2 linked regions of the Lepisosteus oculatus genome follow. The protein of the gene in region 1 interacts with the protein of each later gene in a biochemical or structural test. Links are inferred from orthologs where the notes say so. Each region holds a gene or a part of one and is shown in the gene's direction. Other genes may lie near its edges.

Region 1 (7,426 bases):
TGCAGCAGCATGTTATTTGCGCTTACTGACAGCAATTACAAAGCATAAATGTGGACAATTTCAGCACAGTACGTTACAGTAATATTGCTGCCAAAGAAGTCACTCATATGCATGGATGGACTTCAGAGTAGGCATATAACATTTCAAACTGTGCACACCCCTCACTAATGAAAATTCATTTCTATGGTAACCATGGTAATGTAAACTTAATGAACTTAAGACTCCATACAGCCTCCTTCACTGGTGAGATTCAAAATGTTCAATTGTAATTTGGAGATAAATTAATAGGAATATTTTTACTGATAATTAATTGCAAGACAAATATTCCTACATGTACTGTAGGACTGCTTAAATTACATATAAAGTTCACAGTAAAGTATTATGGTGATGGCAATTCTAATCTTGTTCCTTGTTCGAGAAACACTTATTTCTATGATTTGTTCTCAAACTTGTGCTAAAATATTCATTTGGATTGAATGCAGGGACTAAGGAAGCCAACTGAAAGAGCTATTCCCTACAAGCATGTCAGAACCATAACAGAGCATTATTAGACTGAAAACAGACATCTGTTACCAATGTAGGTCAGTGATTTATTGACAGACAAACGTGAGGAGTAATCCCAACATTTTAACAAAGGAGACAGTTAAACTGACACTTCGTAGGTCTTCTAATCCCGTTCAAATCAAATATGAATGAGAAGAAAATAATTCTAGAACTGGCCTTGTGACATTCAGAATCAGTCCAAACGAATTCCATTTGAAGCAAACCTTGCCATTATACTGACGTTGCTGAAATGCACATATTTGCCAACGTCACAAGAAAAGGTTCTTTTCTGATGCACAAAAGCTAATCACAGCTTTAATCTATATTCATATGATGTGCGGGGCATGTCATCTACCTATTACCAAAAAATGTTCGCTATCAACAGACTCCTTTTCTTCCCAAATTTCAGTCATTTTTTAGGCTATACAATCACAAACCTTAAATTAGATTAGTTCTTAATCTGAAATACTGCCCCATGTTTGACATATGACTATGATTAAAAATGTTGTTAAAAACCAAGAAGGCGGCAGGCATTTTAAATTGAGAAAACTGCACTAACTGAATACATTTTCTACCATCGGTACTGAAAAACATTTCAACAGATTGGATGACTTTCAAAAGAGCCCACAACCTCATGGGCAATAAGGATCACACTAATTTGTTCTCTGCTCTCCGATCTGCTCAAAATGGAGATGAGTCTGCAACCAAGCAAAAAAAGAGAGCATTTAGAAAATCATACCTCAATATTCCAATTGTGATGTTCCAGTGTGCGGCGACACTGATCCATAGACTCTATACCTGTCAGGTCCTGAAAGACATTAAAAACATTGTTACATAAACATATATACAGAATGCTTGTAAAGAACACACAATCTATATGGAAACAAACAGTGCCAGAGATTTTACTCAGCAAAATATCTGTAACTTGGCTTTTCTGTTTCACCCTTGAGCAATAAACAATATTGAGTACATGAATGCTAAATAAGGTTTCAAGCTCATCTGCATTAAACCTACTACTGGGACCATATCAAAACATCAGAATAATCAGTCATACACAAAAAGGAACTAAGAATCTTTAGCATCTAAGTGTTTCAACATTGTTTTTTAGAACTAAACCTAACCTTAACATACAAAGCACCACCATACCTTACTGCTTAGACATGAAAATGCTGATTTTAACTGCCCCGTTTGCTAAACAATGTGTTAACATCAAGGCAATTCGTTGTTGCTTTACATGGCATTATAATGAAGAACCTACAAAAGCTAAAAAGTCAATTCACACGTAACAAACTTCCAAGCACCTTTCCTGTACTTCATGAACACTACCTTTTCCTTGAGCAAAAGCACATATGTATCTAGATTACTGTATTGCTGATAAAGAATGATGAGCTCCCGATTATAATCTCTCTCTCCTATACAATTATGCTATTATGCTGAGTGTTATCCACTCTGATCTACTGTATACCTTGCTCTTCATTTTCACTTTAAGGTGAGGGTCAGGTCCTTAATGGAACTTTCATACAGTTAATCAGCAGGTGGAAAACTATCAACTCTAATGGTTTAAAGTCATCAATACAAGGAATGGGGGCTCTTTTTACCCCTACACCGTTAAATACGAATCACTGAGTAAGATACCTGTCTGAAAATCTAAATCTCCCCCCCTCCTCAATCCTCTGTTCGAAATCTCCAGTTTTCTAGAAAAGTGTGTTGCCCTCAGCATTTGGTTAGTTCACGTGCAAGGCGGGGAAAGTATCCAGACTGTTTTCCTCGTTGTTTCATCCAGCATGTGCTTCCTGATTACCTGAAACTGCAGGAGTTTCTCAGTCTGCTCCTGAGATAATTCCTGTTCCTCTGGCGCCGCCATCTTGCCTCGCCAAACCCCCGCAACAGAGCAGACCGGAACTGACGTAACACTCTGACAGAGGCAGAAGGTAAGGAGGAGGTTGGGGAAGAGAGAGAGAAAATTCACTTTGCTTTGAGCGATAAAATAAAACAGCCACAACCCAAAGTAATTATTCCGTCAACCATACTGTCCCCGTGTGACAAGAATGTCTACCGACAAATTGTGCTATCGTTTCCTCCTTCTTTCATGGAGAACGGACTATCTGTTGTTCTACTGCCCCATGACTGTAGATAAAGGGGGAAAAAAAAGACGGAAACAAAATATTCGGGTGCGCGCACGTAATGTCTCTCATCCAATGAAAACATGCGACCCGAGATTTAGCCCCGCCCCCTTTCTTACGAGCTCATAGACGCTCCTCTCGTGGGCTAAAAAAAGTTTTTTAAATTGTGATAGTGGCTATATATATATACTCGCTGTTTTTTTTTCTAGGAGACAGTTTCATCTTAACTGTTTCATATATTTTACTGTAGTCTTATTTAATACATTTTACAAAATCAGGAGTTAAGTGCTGGTGCCGCTTATTGCTGGCAGAAATTGCCCATAACCACAATACTGTAACATCTTTGGTTTAACAATCAGCAAACATAATAGATACTTTATTAATCTTAGGGAAATTGCAGTGCAACGGCAGTTTGGCACACTCAACACAGCACAGTGTAACGAAATCACACCATAATACACAATACAGTAAGTACTTCAAAAATTGAGTTTACAGAATTGCTCACAGTGTAGAAGAAGACAAGACAAACCAGGATGTTCAGTACACAAAAAGATGTATTGCACATTATAAATATATTGCACAAAAATCAGTTGTATACAGGAAAACCAGCTGTAAACAGAGAATTCATGTTTAGTCCAAAAACAGGTCAGTGTTGCCCCTGCACAGACACACAGTGGATGAGTTGTACAGTCTTATGACAGAAGGCAAGAATGATCTCTGTAGCGCTCCCTGGTTGGGTCAGCCTGTTGCTGAACGCGCTCTTCATTCTCACAAGCCTGTCATAGAGGGGATGGGAGACGTTGTTCATGATGACCATTAATTTGGACACCATTCTCCTCTCAGCCACTACCTCCAAGGTAATCATACTTAACGTAATTTACTGCTACATAGCCATAGGAAAAAAAAACGATTTGGGCTGAATTCCACCTTGATATTTTATAAGATTCTCTACAGAGTGAAAGAAGTGCACGTCGACCTTATGCAGTCCAACATAGTAAAACTGCCTATGTACTTAACATTTAAATACTGGGAGGTGTACAAACCGTTGAGTACAACATACATTATACACTGTAGCTGCATGGAAAATTGTCTACATCTTCTGAGCTTTGAGTTTCAAAGGGGTCTTTAGATTATTTCGTGGAAAAACAAATAATGCTTGTGCGAAAACTAATTCCCGACTTTGAAGGATGCGATGCTATTTCAGTGAGGTTCCTAAAATAACAATTAGTTGTAACATTCTGAGTTGAGTTAGCGCATATAAAAATAGCCTCACAAAGTTTACACTATCCAGATGAAACACGACCAATGATCAACCTTCAGTTTGTAGTTTTACTACAAACCATCACCTGTGTTTGAAAATATTGTTTATGTGGTGATAATGGAGTTTGCACCATGATATTACTGTCGTCCTGGGAAGAACTGATAAGCCATTCACAAATGCCTGTAGCCATACATTATAAAGCTACTGTAACTTTCTCCTTCTCTACTCCTCACCATAGTGGAAATGTGCTCTGCTGCTTTGAAGCTTTAAAGTACACATAAAAGTGTTTTGTGTGCGGCCATGTGACTGCATTCACATAAGTGTCTTTTGTTTCCACCCATGAACTGGATTAGCACACATCAGCCAAAATTATGATAATGACCCCAATGATGTCATTTCCCAGTCGCCTGCTTTGACATTTCGTATCTTGTTCCTGTGTGAGCTGGGGGAGGAAAGGAAGTGCTTGCCTAGGGTTTAGGAAGTGCTCAGTTCCTGGAGTCCGAGTGCTTGGGTGTTCCTGTGCGAATACAGCCCAGACAGTGCATTGTATTGTTTGCACGGTTCATCTCTTCTCTCGGAAAAAAAAAAACACCCCGAAGAAAGATGGCTGACGATTTCGGTTTCTTCTCGTCCTCCGACAACGGAGCAGCCCCGGCCGAGGAGGACCCGGCGGCGGCGTTCTTAGCCCAGCAAGAGAGCGAGATCGCCGGGATTGAAAATGACGAAGGCTTCGGGGCTCTGGAGGGGGCTGGCCAGCCGCTGCAGAGTTATGGTGGGCACAGGGTCCGCGGCAGCGGTCATCAGCGCAGCTGCTTTAACTGCGATCGGCTGTTCGAGCAGAAAGAGCTGGAATTTAGGAGATATTGGTATTTTAAAAAAAAAAGGTGCTGGCTTTTAAAACGGAGGCTGAAAATGGTAAATGCGGTGGTTTTCTGGTTCTGGTTATTCCATTACTTGCCAAGTGTAGCCTAACTTGCTGTGTTTTTGAAAGGAGAGTATTTGAGTGCATAGCCAGAAGTCATTGGGCTTGCTGTGACAATACTATGCCCATTTTAAAAGTGGCGCCTATAGTACTGTATATTTGGTCGTCTTTTTTTTTTTTAGTTTTGTTGTACCTCGAAATAGTGACAGAAATCGGTGTTTTATCTGTCCCGTTTGCCAGAACGCTTCATCTTACTGTTGGGTTCCAGTAAGGACCGATTGAATGTCCAGCAAAGAGGTGATTTGTTTCTCTCCAGCTAAAGAAATGGGACAAACGAGGTGATTTCTGTGGAGTAGGGTCGGGTCTCGTTTCTCCCAAAACCAAAAGCTTCCCCGCCACGGTGTTACAGTACAGTATAGAAATACAGAAAAAAGTAGCTCATTCAAAACACGCTCAGGTGGGTAGCTGCGTCAGCATGCGTAGGCAGCAAAGGAACAAGTAAGAGGTTTATTCCCTGATGAAAAGAGAAGAAAGGAAACGTATCGCATCGAAGAAGGCTCCACAGCCGAAACGTTATGTTTTCTTTCTTCTCTTTTCAGCAGGGAATAAACCTCTTACTTGCTCTTGATCTGTGGCAATGTCAGCTATAAGAAAAAGGACTGTGATTTGTTAGTGTTTTGGTAAGGGACAGAAGGTAAAATAGGATACCATTCTCTTTTCCCGCTTGGAGAATTAGGATCTAAGAATGAGTAAATAACCTTAATTAACCTTAACCGTATCTTAATCCAGGTATTATTCCAGCCACCTGCTAAGCATAGCAGACAGAAAATCAGCGTGAGTTGTATCCAAGGTCACATTAATGTAGGCCGAGTGGTTGATAAAATGTTATTTAGGAAACCTTTTGTCTACCGACTTTCCTCTTTTAGGTTTTAAGCAAATTTAGCTTGTGTTCTAATAATGCTGAGCTATTCCATGTGGGCCTTTTAAAGGCTGACATCTGAAAGTGCTGTTCGTGCGATGCCGATTTCCTGAACCCCGGCAGGCATGAGGTCAATAAATCTTTCAGCAGAAATAGCAGAAACTTTGCCATCATCTGTTTTCCCGTGGTACTGACGCTGATTAAACAAAAGCGAGGGGATAAGCAGCACACAGTTCTGTAAATCAAAGAGGCTGGCAGAGAAAGGAGAGGCTAGGGGCAGATTTCCCGCCCTGGATGGAGTTTTCCTTTGAGAGCCTGTTTTCTGCGGGCATTGGACGACAATCCCGATTGCACTGATAAGGAAGGAAGCATTGGAGGGGAGCGCAGGCTGTGACAGACGGCCTCAATCTTTGCCTTTAAGGTTTCAGGCCTCTAAAGCAATGCTTTTTCAGCAGGTCCCCGTAGGGATAAACCTGGTTGTGGCTTAGTGCTTCACAGAAGCCATTTTCTGAGTATAGGGCGCTGCTTCTATAAATAAATTAGAGTAAAGCACTTCTGAGATGGTTCCAGTATCATACTATAAATGAGACCCTATTAAATCTGCCACTCGTCTTCATTGTGTAATCGTGCAACAGCAGTCGCGTCTTGGAAGCTCGGAAGAGAATAGCGTCCCCGTGTTCTGTGTGAACGTTTTTTTCTCATGGGTATTCCACACGTCGCAGTCTGCACACAAGCCTTTCTTCAGACGTGCCTGATCATTTTGTGTGGCTTCGTCATGGCCAGGTACTAGCCTCTTCAAGGCAGTGATCCTGTTCACATCATATAACCCCGAAGGACTTTGGTGGCTCGAGTTTGTGGATGGAGCTCCGGGGATAACCAAGAGCATCCACAATGCAAGCTGTTGTGCCATAAAGCCAAACGTCTGGAATGTGAGTTATTTGATGTGAATGGGGACATATTCACTGAGACACAGTCATATAATTTTAGAACATATGTCAGGCTATTAATGAGCAAGTTGTCAAGTCAGCAGGTAGTACTGTCTTCATGTACCGGTGCCTAATTCAGATGTGTATTCTACATATGGTTCTGTACTCAGTCATTTAAAAGTATGTTGTTGTAAAAAGGCTTAAGATGTTGCCGTCTGTGATCTTGATCTTTATCTTTTATAAACTGAAAAATATAGAGGTTGCTATAGTTCAAGTAATGGCCCATTGAAGGGTTTTTGCTGTTGAACTGGCTTGACAACAGTTGGGTAGACCTGCTAAACTACATTTCATTCAGAGGAGGTGTCTAGTGAGGCTGTGAAAGACCTTAGAGTAAGATATAGGTTAACTTTTTACAATATATATTTTTTTTAATTTGAGGTTCTTCCATCTAAAATTTCCCCCATAGCCCTTAGAGTGGATGTGTTTAAAACAACATACTAAATGGAAGTAAGGTGGAATTTGTTCAGGATGTGATCTGAACCCTAGGAGACCTCTGACAACCTAGAAGCAAAAGGAGTTATTTGATAGGGTCATTTTAGCAAGCATGCAGAAGAAGTGTGTTCAGATATAGATTATTCCACAAGAATTGCTGTAAGTGACCTTATTTGTGTTCATGGCTGTTTGGCTTCATTTTTGATTTTGCCTTTTATGGATTCCGTTCTTTTGCCAGTC
Region 2 (7,755 bases), on another chromosome or scaffold:
GCAGCAGGGTATGTCGCCTCTACCAGCAGCTCCCTCTGGCTTAGGGCTCTTTGACACCAGACAGCAGGGATTAGCAAAGCCCATTAGAGATCAAACACCATTTCTTATTTCATAAATCTGCATTTCTTTTTTTGAGGCCAGAAAACTTGTCAACCTTTTAAAAATAAATTAATAGGGCTCTGCTTTACCATTACAATGGTGACATCAGTTCTTGCACAGTTGTTTTTCTTTGATGCTTACTGTATTTCCATATAATATTATGAGAAAAGAATGCATTTTATTTACTCACAATATGCCTTAATATATTTCAGATCTGTATTTCGAAAGAATAAGAACAATTATTACCCTGACTGTTAAAGGAAACACATTATTAAATATTGTGCTTTTATTGAACTTACAAGAACGTATTTAAATATATTGTGAGTTTGTTGGACTTTATATGTGGGGGTGCTTTATTGTTTTTGTTTCATAGAGATCTGTGGCCTGCTAGCCCACTAACCCTGTCAGTCTGAATGATCTCGTGTTGGCTTCCCCAATCAATCGGGTTTCCTAATCTCCATAATCTTCTTACTGTAGAGCTGCCTTGTTAATCTGCTTTTAGGGGTGAATTGTGTCATGCTATCTTGCATTTTGTTCTGTGACATTTTGCTACATAGAGCACAGGCGGCTTTATTGCCTAATTTGCAGAATCTCTAGGTATTTCTGCTTCACTTTCACACACAAAGGGTAACTTGAGTGAAATAATATGATATTAGGTTGGCACACACAATCCTGTAATAATGCGCTGTTCTATTTATAATCTCCTGTCATTCACAGTCTAATACAGTCATTCACCACTCAAGCCTACTGAAATAGAAATGTTTAGTTGAAGTACCATCCAGAGTTAATATTTTTAAAAGATCAGATTTTTTGCAGGATTTAAAGGCAGATGGATGGACTGCTGTGTGAGGACTGTTTTTACTTTATAATAAACTGAAGTTTATATTTTTCTGTTTACAATTATTTATATTTTTGAATACCGACTTCAAGGCTTAAAACTTGATCTTAAAGGTAATGTGGTACGTTGACTGGTGTTTTGTTTCTGAAATTCTGAATAGAGTGTTGAGGCATTGGACAGCAGAGAACAGTTCCTCAGAGACACCCAGCTGCTTGAAGGTTCCACGCACTCCAAGGTAAATATTGTTTCTTAATACAGGCTGGGAAAACAAAGGCTATCAAATCAAGTCAAGTGCAAATACAACTCTATATTAATGTTTATAATAATGTATAATGTTTTATAATAATGTATAATTTTTCGTTATTAGCCCTATACAATTTCTTGCATTAGGAATTCGTCTTTTCGCATACCCCAGCTTTTCTCCATGGAGACAGAGACACACAGACAGGGAGAGAGAAGCTTGGGGACAGAGCGCAGGGTCTGCCATTGTACGGCGCCCCTGGAGCAGTTAGGGTTAAGGGCCTTGCTCAGGGGCCCAACAGAGTAGGATTCCTCTGCCGGCCGTGGGATTTGAACCGGCAACCTTCCAGTCACAGGCGCATAGCCACAGAGCCACCACTCCGCCCTATTAATTGGCAGTGGCCAGCTGAAATAATTCACTAGGGTAACACAAAGATTAAACCACAGACTGATGCACTTTTCAGTCCTGTTGCATAAAAGAGTAACACTGCAGAAAAGTTTGGATTTAGGAGAGTGGTGATGTGAGAGTATTCTGTGTCTCAATATAAGCGTAGAAAACAAAGATGCAGTTTGTCTTACTGTTATTTTTTCTGATTCCACAGCACCAAAATTCTTGTTCTAAGAGAAGTGTAGCAGGCAGCCTCTTAAACCTGGACACACAGCAGCTGCCTGTTAATCTCTAAGACGCATCAGGTATCTGGGAGGCCGTGAATTGGACTGCAAAGGCTACCCATGTGTTCAAAGCCAGCTATCTCCGTGGAACTGTGGGTGGAGGTGAAAGTTCTGAATGACGCTGGGATGCCTGGATTGCACAGGGATGCAGAAATATGTACCATAAAAAAGGAATGTCTTATGCTCCTAGACCACTGTTAGAGTCTAATAGCTAGGGTAGGCGTTTCCTCAGATGCTAACAATGCAAACAGACACAAAGTTAAAAAAGAGTCCCGCTGTATTTTATGCATGTGATAATAAATTCATTCTTTAAAGAATGCGAAAGTTTTTTAAAAATAAACAGTAATTTATTTTTTTAAATTAATGCTGGAAACAAAATGTAATGCAAAAATCTGTTTTCACTTGCCTAGACCTCGATAGTTTTAGATAGCAACATAAAAATAATGACTTAAGTATTATAAAGGAGTAACCAAAAAGCAGAAATTGAGTTTCAGTTTCTGTATTAAATACAAAAGAGATCTGTAGTCAACAGGAATGTGGTTGCACTTTCCATGTAAAATATATTGTTAATGCCTATAGGAAAAAATAGCACATGAGATCTAAGATTTATTGACCTACCAGATCTTTAGATGGCATTAGTCTTGGCTTGGGTTTTTTAAAATATAATTTTATTATCTGAAAGACACATCAATTATAAAAGAAATATTTAAGTATATGCATTTTTATGTTTGAATCATTTGTGGACAAAACTGTTGTTAGAAGTCCAACTCTTCTCTATTAGAAATACAAATGTACTGTTAAGGGTGCACCACAGACACTAGAGCCTAAAATATGACGTTTGCGGGTTTTAATACAGATGTCAGAACCTTTTTCATACAATCACTAACATGTAGTTTCACCTTACAAATACAGTACAGTAACTGGAATGAAACGAGCAATTAAATACAGTAATCTAAGACATGGCACTCTTTAATAGAAACTATTTTAACAGGTCAGAAATGAAGAGCTAAATGATTCATACTGAATCTGAGTGGGCATCTATTTTATTAGAGATACCTGGGCTTTCAAAAAAGTATTAAGTAGTTTTCCCCTGATTAACCTGGAGAAATCTAGATTTTTAAAACCAGCAGTATTTAAAACATTGGGCTCTGTGAGACGTATTTTCCACAGGGGTGAAACAAGCTTTCACTCCTAGATTTAACTTGATCCCAGATTGTCTTCACACTAAATGAGTGATGTTGAGGAAACTTCATTGGCATTCAAGGTCTAGTGAATATCATTTGTTTTCTGGGCTTGTGAAAGGTCCACAATAGCTTTAAAATATTAATTGACAGCAGTTCTTCAACTATTAAAACTCTGCTGTCTCCTGCCAGTAAACCTATTTCCATTAAATTTTGTCTGACTGTACAGTCATTTTACTGTTCCACTCATTACATGATAATGTCAAAGTCTTGCCTCACACCTTTTTTTAGCACGGAAAAATCTGCAAATTTGGGAACATTAGCTAAAAATGTGATAGTTTTCAAATTCAAAGAAGATATTTTGTTCTAGTATTCACCTGAGTGTTACTCTAAATTATAAATGAGCTAAAATGTTGAGGACAGAACGTTCTAATAAGGTACAGTACTACAGCATCAGGGGATACAGTGACTTGTTTTACTTCATTCACTGCTGGTGAGGACATCGTGAGATTACCGTGATGTACATTCAGACAGCTAATTTATTTCCCTCACATTTCAAATACTAAATGCGTGCACTATAACAGTGGTAAGGTGTTTTCTGAAATTCTGCCAGCCTCATTTACCAAGCTTCTCGGTTTAAATTAAACCTTTGTTGTCTAATTGAGTGTTATGTATTTTGAATCCTCTAAAAAGCAATATTTACGCAGCAGCGGGGCAAGTGGGAATGTTATTACAGTGGTATCTTGCACTCTGAATCGTAAGAAAACAGATTGCCCCTCGTTTCAGAGTTCCGCCAGTGTACAAGGGTGTGAGTTTTTTTTTCTAGCAGTTGACGTAAGGAGATGCAGAACAATTTGGACATGTTGCAGAAGTACAGTGACTTTATGTCGTGAAGACAGAGTCTCTAGAGGCGTCAGTACTGAGTTTTTCTTCGTGCCTGTTGACAGTATTGTGAACATCTATAGGGAAGTGGTTGAAACTGCCCTATATTATTACCGTTGGTTCTTGTACATATCAAAAAGCACTACAGACATGAGGACGGAAAACAGAACTATAAACCTAATATGTATCAATACTGTGCAATTCAGATTTGAGCACAAGTGTACTCTGAAATTGTTTTTTTTTAGGTTTTGTAAAGTGCATTATTTTTAACAGTATTTTTCTGAAGATTGTATGTTTTTTTTTAAATGGTCATTGTTATTTGTATCGGAATTGCTCAAATAAAACTTTCTCACATATGTCGTGTACCGTTTTTAAAGATACAAAATACATTTTAAAATAAATATCAGCTAATTAAACTCTTCGACTTCATATTCAAATAAGCAGCACGCTGCAATCCGTTTTATACATTCAGTGTATTTATATAGCCTACATAATGCAATAGGAAATCCATGTTAACATATGAAATTTCTAGACGTCTGAATACTTCTGTGGAAGCCCAATAAAATGCACTGACGTTGTGTAGCGTGTATTTATAATGGCAGATGCCGCTGCTGATTTCTGCAGCAGGCAAATCCAAACGTTTAATGAAAATCTGATCGCACTTGATACGATCGGGGCCAATTCGCAGGGGAGTTTCCCATTGGCAGAGCCCGCCACCAAAAAAAAAAAAGACATTACCGGGCATGGCCGGAACGTGAATCCGACTCCCAGCAGCTTTGTGCGTTGATTGATTGGTGGGGAAAACTGTATACAGTTTTTCTTCTAGACTGATCTCTTATCCCTCCTCCCCCCCTTCTCTCATTCCGCCCATTCAGGAAAGCGCGTTGCTATGTCCGTGTTCTGTGCAACCTGGGCTGGGATCCACGTATCGCAAACACACAGCAGTGCCTTTTTCTTCCTTCTCCCATGATGCTGCGTTCATTTAACTCTGCACGGCGGAGCCAGCCCCTGCACTAGCGCGGCCAGCCGGGAGCTGTTGTTTTTTTTTTTGGGGGGGGCTTTTTGTGTTTTTATTTGTTTTGTTTTCCTTTGTGTTTTAAAGGGCAACCGGAAAAAAAAAAACAAAAAACACACGCGCGTCGTTTGGACTGGTCGCTCCAGCTCGTCGTATCCCCCGGCTTGCTTTTTGTTTTGTTTTTGTTTTTGTTTTTTAAAAAACAAAAGGGTGATTTTTTATCAAGTGCATAATCGACACCAGAGGCAGAGGCATATTCGTCTCCCGAGCTGCCGGAGCGGAGGATGAATTCGATACGACAGGTGCCTTCCAGGGTGAAAAGCAGAAGAAATGAGAACAGTTTGGGGGCGGAGAAAGAGCATTTTGACAAGCAGCAGGTAAAGAGAATATCGCATTGTAAACCGGTGGGCTTGGTTCATTGATAATTTAAAGTCCTACAACTGGGCGAGTAATAGAATTAATTTCACGTGTACGTATACATTGTGTCCTACGTGACAAGACGGGAAGAGTTCAAAAGGTGTCGTCGTCCCCATGTCAGTGAAATCTTTCGAAGAGAACTCAAGCATTTTGTGGGGGAAATGGTGTTTACTTAGTGGTAGCCAGCCTAGGTTGGCTTCTTGAGCTGAAAAAAAAAAATGTGCAGGGCAGAAACATGATGTCAATCATTCGGTGTCTGTTCTGTGTAGCCGTAGCTATCAAAGCGGTCATTAACTGTCCTTGTTTTGTAATTTGTTTGTGTAATATTACTTCTGTTTTGTTCTCGGTGTTGAAACCCGGCTGGGGAGCGCAGTGGCGGGGAGGAGATTGCACATTAATTAAAGAGATTGCTTAAATCTAGACAGGGAAGTGTCCCAAAATAAGTTCACAGTACTCAGACAGCTTAAAAAAAAAGACCCCTCAAAATGCATCGTTATAAAAGTCCTAAATTCGCGCTTTTAAAATCCCGACGTGGATAATAACTGCTAAGAATTCAATATACAGTTGACAGGTCAGTTGAGTCTGCGGTATTTTGCTGAAAAGGGGACTGGTTGGTGTTGGTTTACATACATAAACCGGCAAGGTGGTGATTTCTTTTTAGAAAGTTTGTCTTCCACGCAAAATACGTCATTCAAAGGTGAGTGCACAAATGATGGCTACGAAACAACACCTGATGAAAACATTCATTCTTCCACGTTTGTTTTTTTAACCTGAGCTACGGGCGAACGTCAGCATGAATGCCTCCTTGTAGCCCTGCGAGGGCGCCTCCCTAGCTACCACCGACTTGCTCCCAGCTGATTAGGGAAGTTGTGCACGTCAGGATTCAATGAAAAGGACGTTGTCGGAGGCTTTGCTTACACTTAACGTGATCGGCCTGATGTACAAGCGATACCTGTTCAAGCAGCTTAATCGTGGGTGTCAGCAAACAACTTCGGAAAACAGGCTCCCGTGACCCCTGGGGCATGGAGCTTCAGACTTGACGGAAATTCCTGTGATTCCAGTGGGTTTTCTGTTACATTCGACCCATTACGGCCATTTGGTCCAGTTTATCAGTTTATCACAGCCACTGTAATGCGAACAGCCCCCCCAAAAAAGATTAATTCTCCTTGACACCCCTTTCCCAAAACGGGGCAGTTCAAACGGGTCAATCAAACCTCATCTCTGTGGGAGATGGAAGGGGACAAAAGCACACAGCTTGCACACTAAATTAATCATAGGGGAGGGAGAATGCCTGTTCCACAAGACTGGTCCCCTGAGCTGGAGTCGAACCCGGAAACATCTGGGAAGTGCGAACCCTTGAACAGAACTGGAGGGGTTCTGCATGACCAGCGGCGTATGGATAACAAAAACCAAATGAAAAGGCGAGCGGCGAGCTCCGGGAGGAAGCGAGTCCAGCGGGGAGAAATTGTCCGGTCTCGCTCCGAGCGGGACGGGCTCATCTCATCCCATCACTCGGCACCTTTCGGGATGAGCAATGATTGAATGGGAAACGCCCTCTTGAGGTCTTTTTTGTTTCTGAAATTCAGACTCCAAGCACAGGGAAAAACTTGGAGGAGTGATGATGATGATGATGATGCAGACGGGGGGGGGGGGGACGAAGAGCAGGAGGGCGTGAGCCGAGGGCCTCCCCTCTTGCCATTCAGGCTGGGGCGATTCCGACCTCCACAGTGGAGGTCACATCGCACGGAAACAGATTTTGGAGTCATTCAGTATACAGTGAATCCTGTTCTTGATAAAGTGATACAAATATTTGTATTTGTTTCCGTATAACTGCAACATTTTTTTTTAGGTCAGACCTGACTTTTTTATGTCGAATTTTGAACAGACTAGCAGGACCCCCTTGAAAGCAAACTGGGCTGGTGCATCTTAAGGTGTCAGTATGCTTTGAACAAAATGTATGCTTTCTTTTTAAGCAGTCATAATGGTACCTCTATAATAGTGTGGAGTCTGTTTTGCTGCTTCTTAATGATTTTGTATTACAGTAGTACTAGCATGTGAAAGTTCGTAGAAAGTCAGCACGCTTTCACTGAGGAATGTAATTAGTTCCTCTTTTTAGGAAGAATTGAATGCACTCCGATGTTAAAACCTTAGCTTGGACAAAGATTGATGACCTGCAGTGTTGTGATTCTGGGAGGCCCTAGGGAGTCAGTCCATGAGCAGCAAATTAAACGGGCAGCAAGCTAATTAGTGGACTCAAGATGAAGAAAGCACTATCATGATTGTTAAGGTTTTAGAAGGTTAGAAATCACTGCATCCCCTGACACATCACATTTCGCATGCATAAGAGAGAGACTGAAAGTTTCCAAATGGCATCTGTCTGGATTTTTTAATGCTCTTCCACAGGCCTTCCA

The links.
Region 2: the proteins of cltb (region 1) and huntingtin-interacting protein 1-related protein form a complex in vitro, tested with the Homo sapiens proteins (2 studies listed by BioGRID). The link is inferred for Lepisosteus oculatus from reciprocal best matches to the Homo sapiens genes CLTB and HIP1R.

The regions. Positions count from the first base shown.
Region 1 is NC_090706.1:37,377,141-37,384,566, forward strand, and holds the start of cltb (clathrin light chain B), read left to right. Parts: upstream 1-4,329; 5' UTR 4,330-4,530; coding exon 4,531-4,699; intron 4,700-7,426. Other genes in the region: faf2 (FAS-associated factor 2), read right to left, coding at 1,283-1,351, 2,345-2,407. UniProt on the Homo sapiens protein: Clathrin is the major protein of the polyhedral coat of coated pits and vesicles.
Region 2 is NC_090717.1:7,337,437-7,345,191, forward strand, and holds the start of huntingtin-interacting protein 1-related protein, read left to right. Parts: upstream 1-4,692; 5' UTR 4,693-5,211; coding exon 5,212-5,304; intron 5,305-7,755. Other genes in the region: ccdc62 (coiled-coil domain-containing protein 62), read left to right, coding at 1-8, 1,098-1,172, 1,780-1,860. UniProt on the Homo sapiens protein: Component of clathrin-coated pits and vesicles, that may link the endocytic machinery to the actin cytoskeleton. Binds 3-phosphoinositides (via ENTH domain).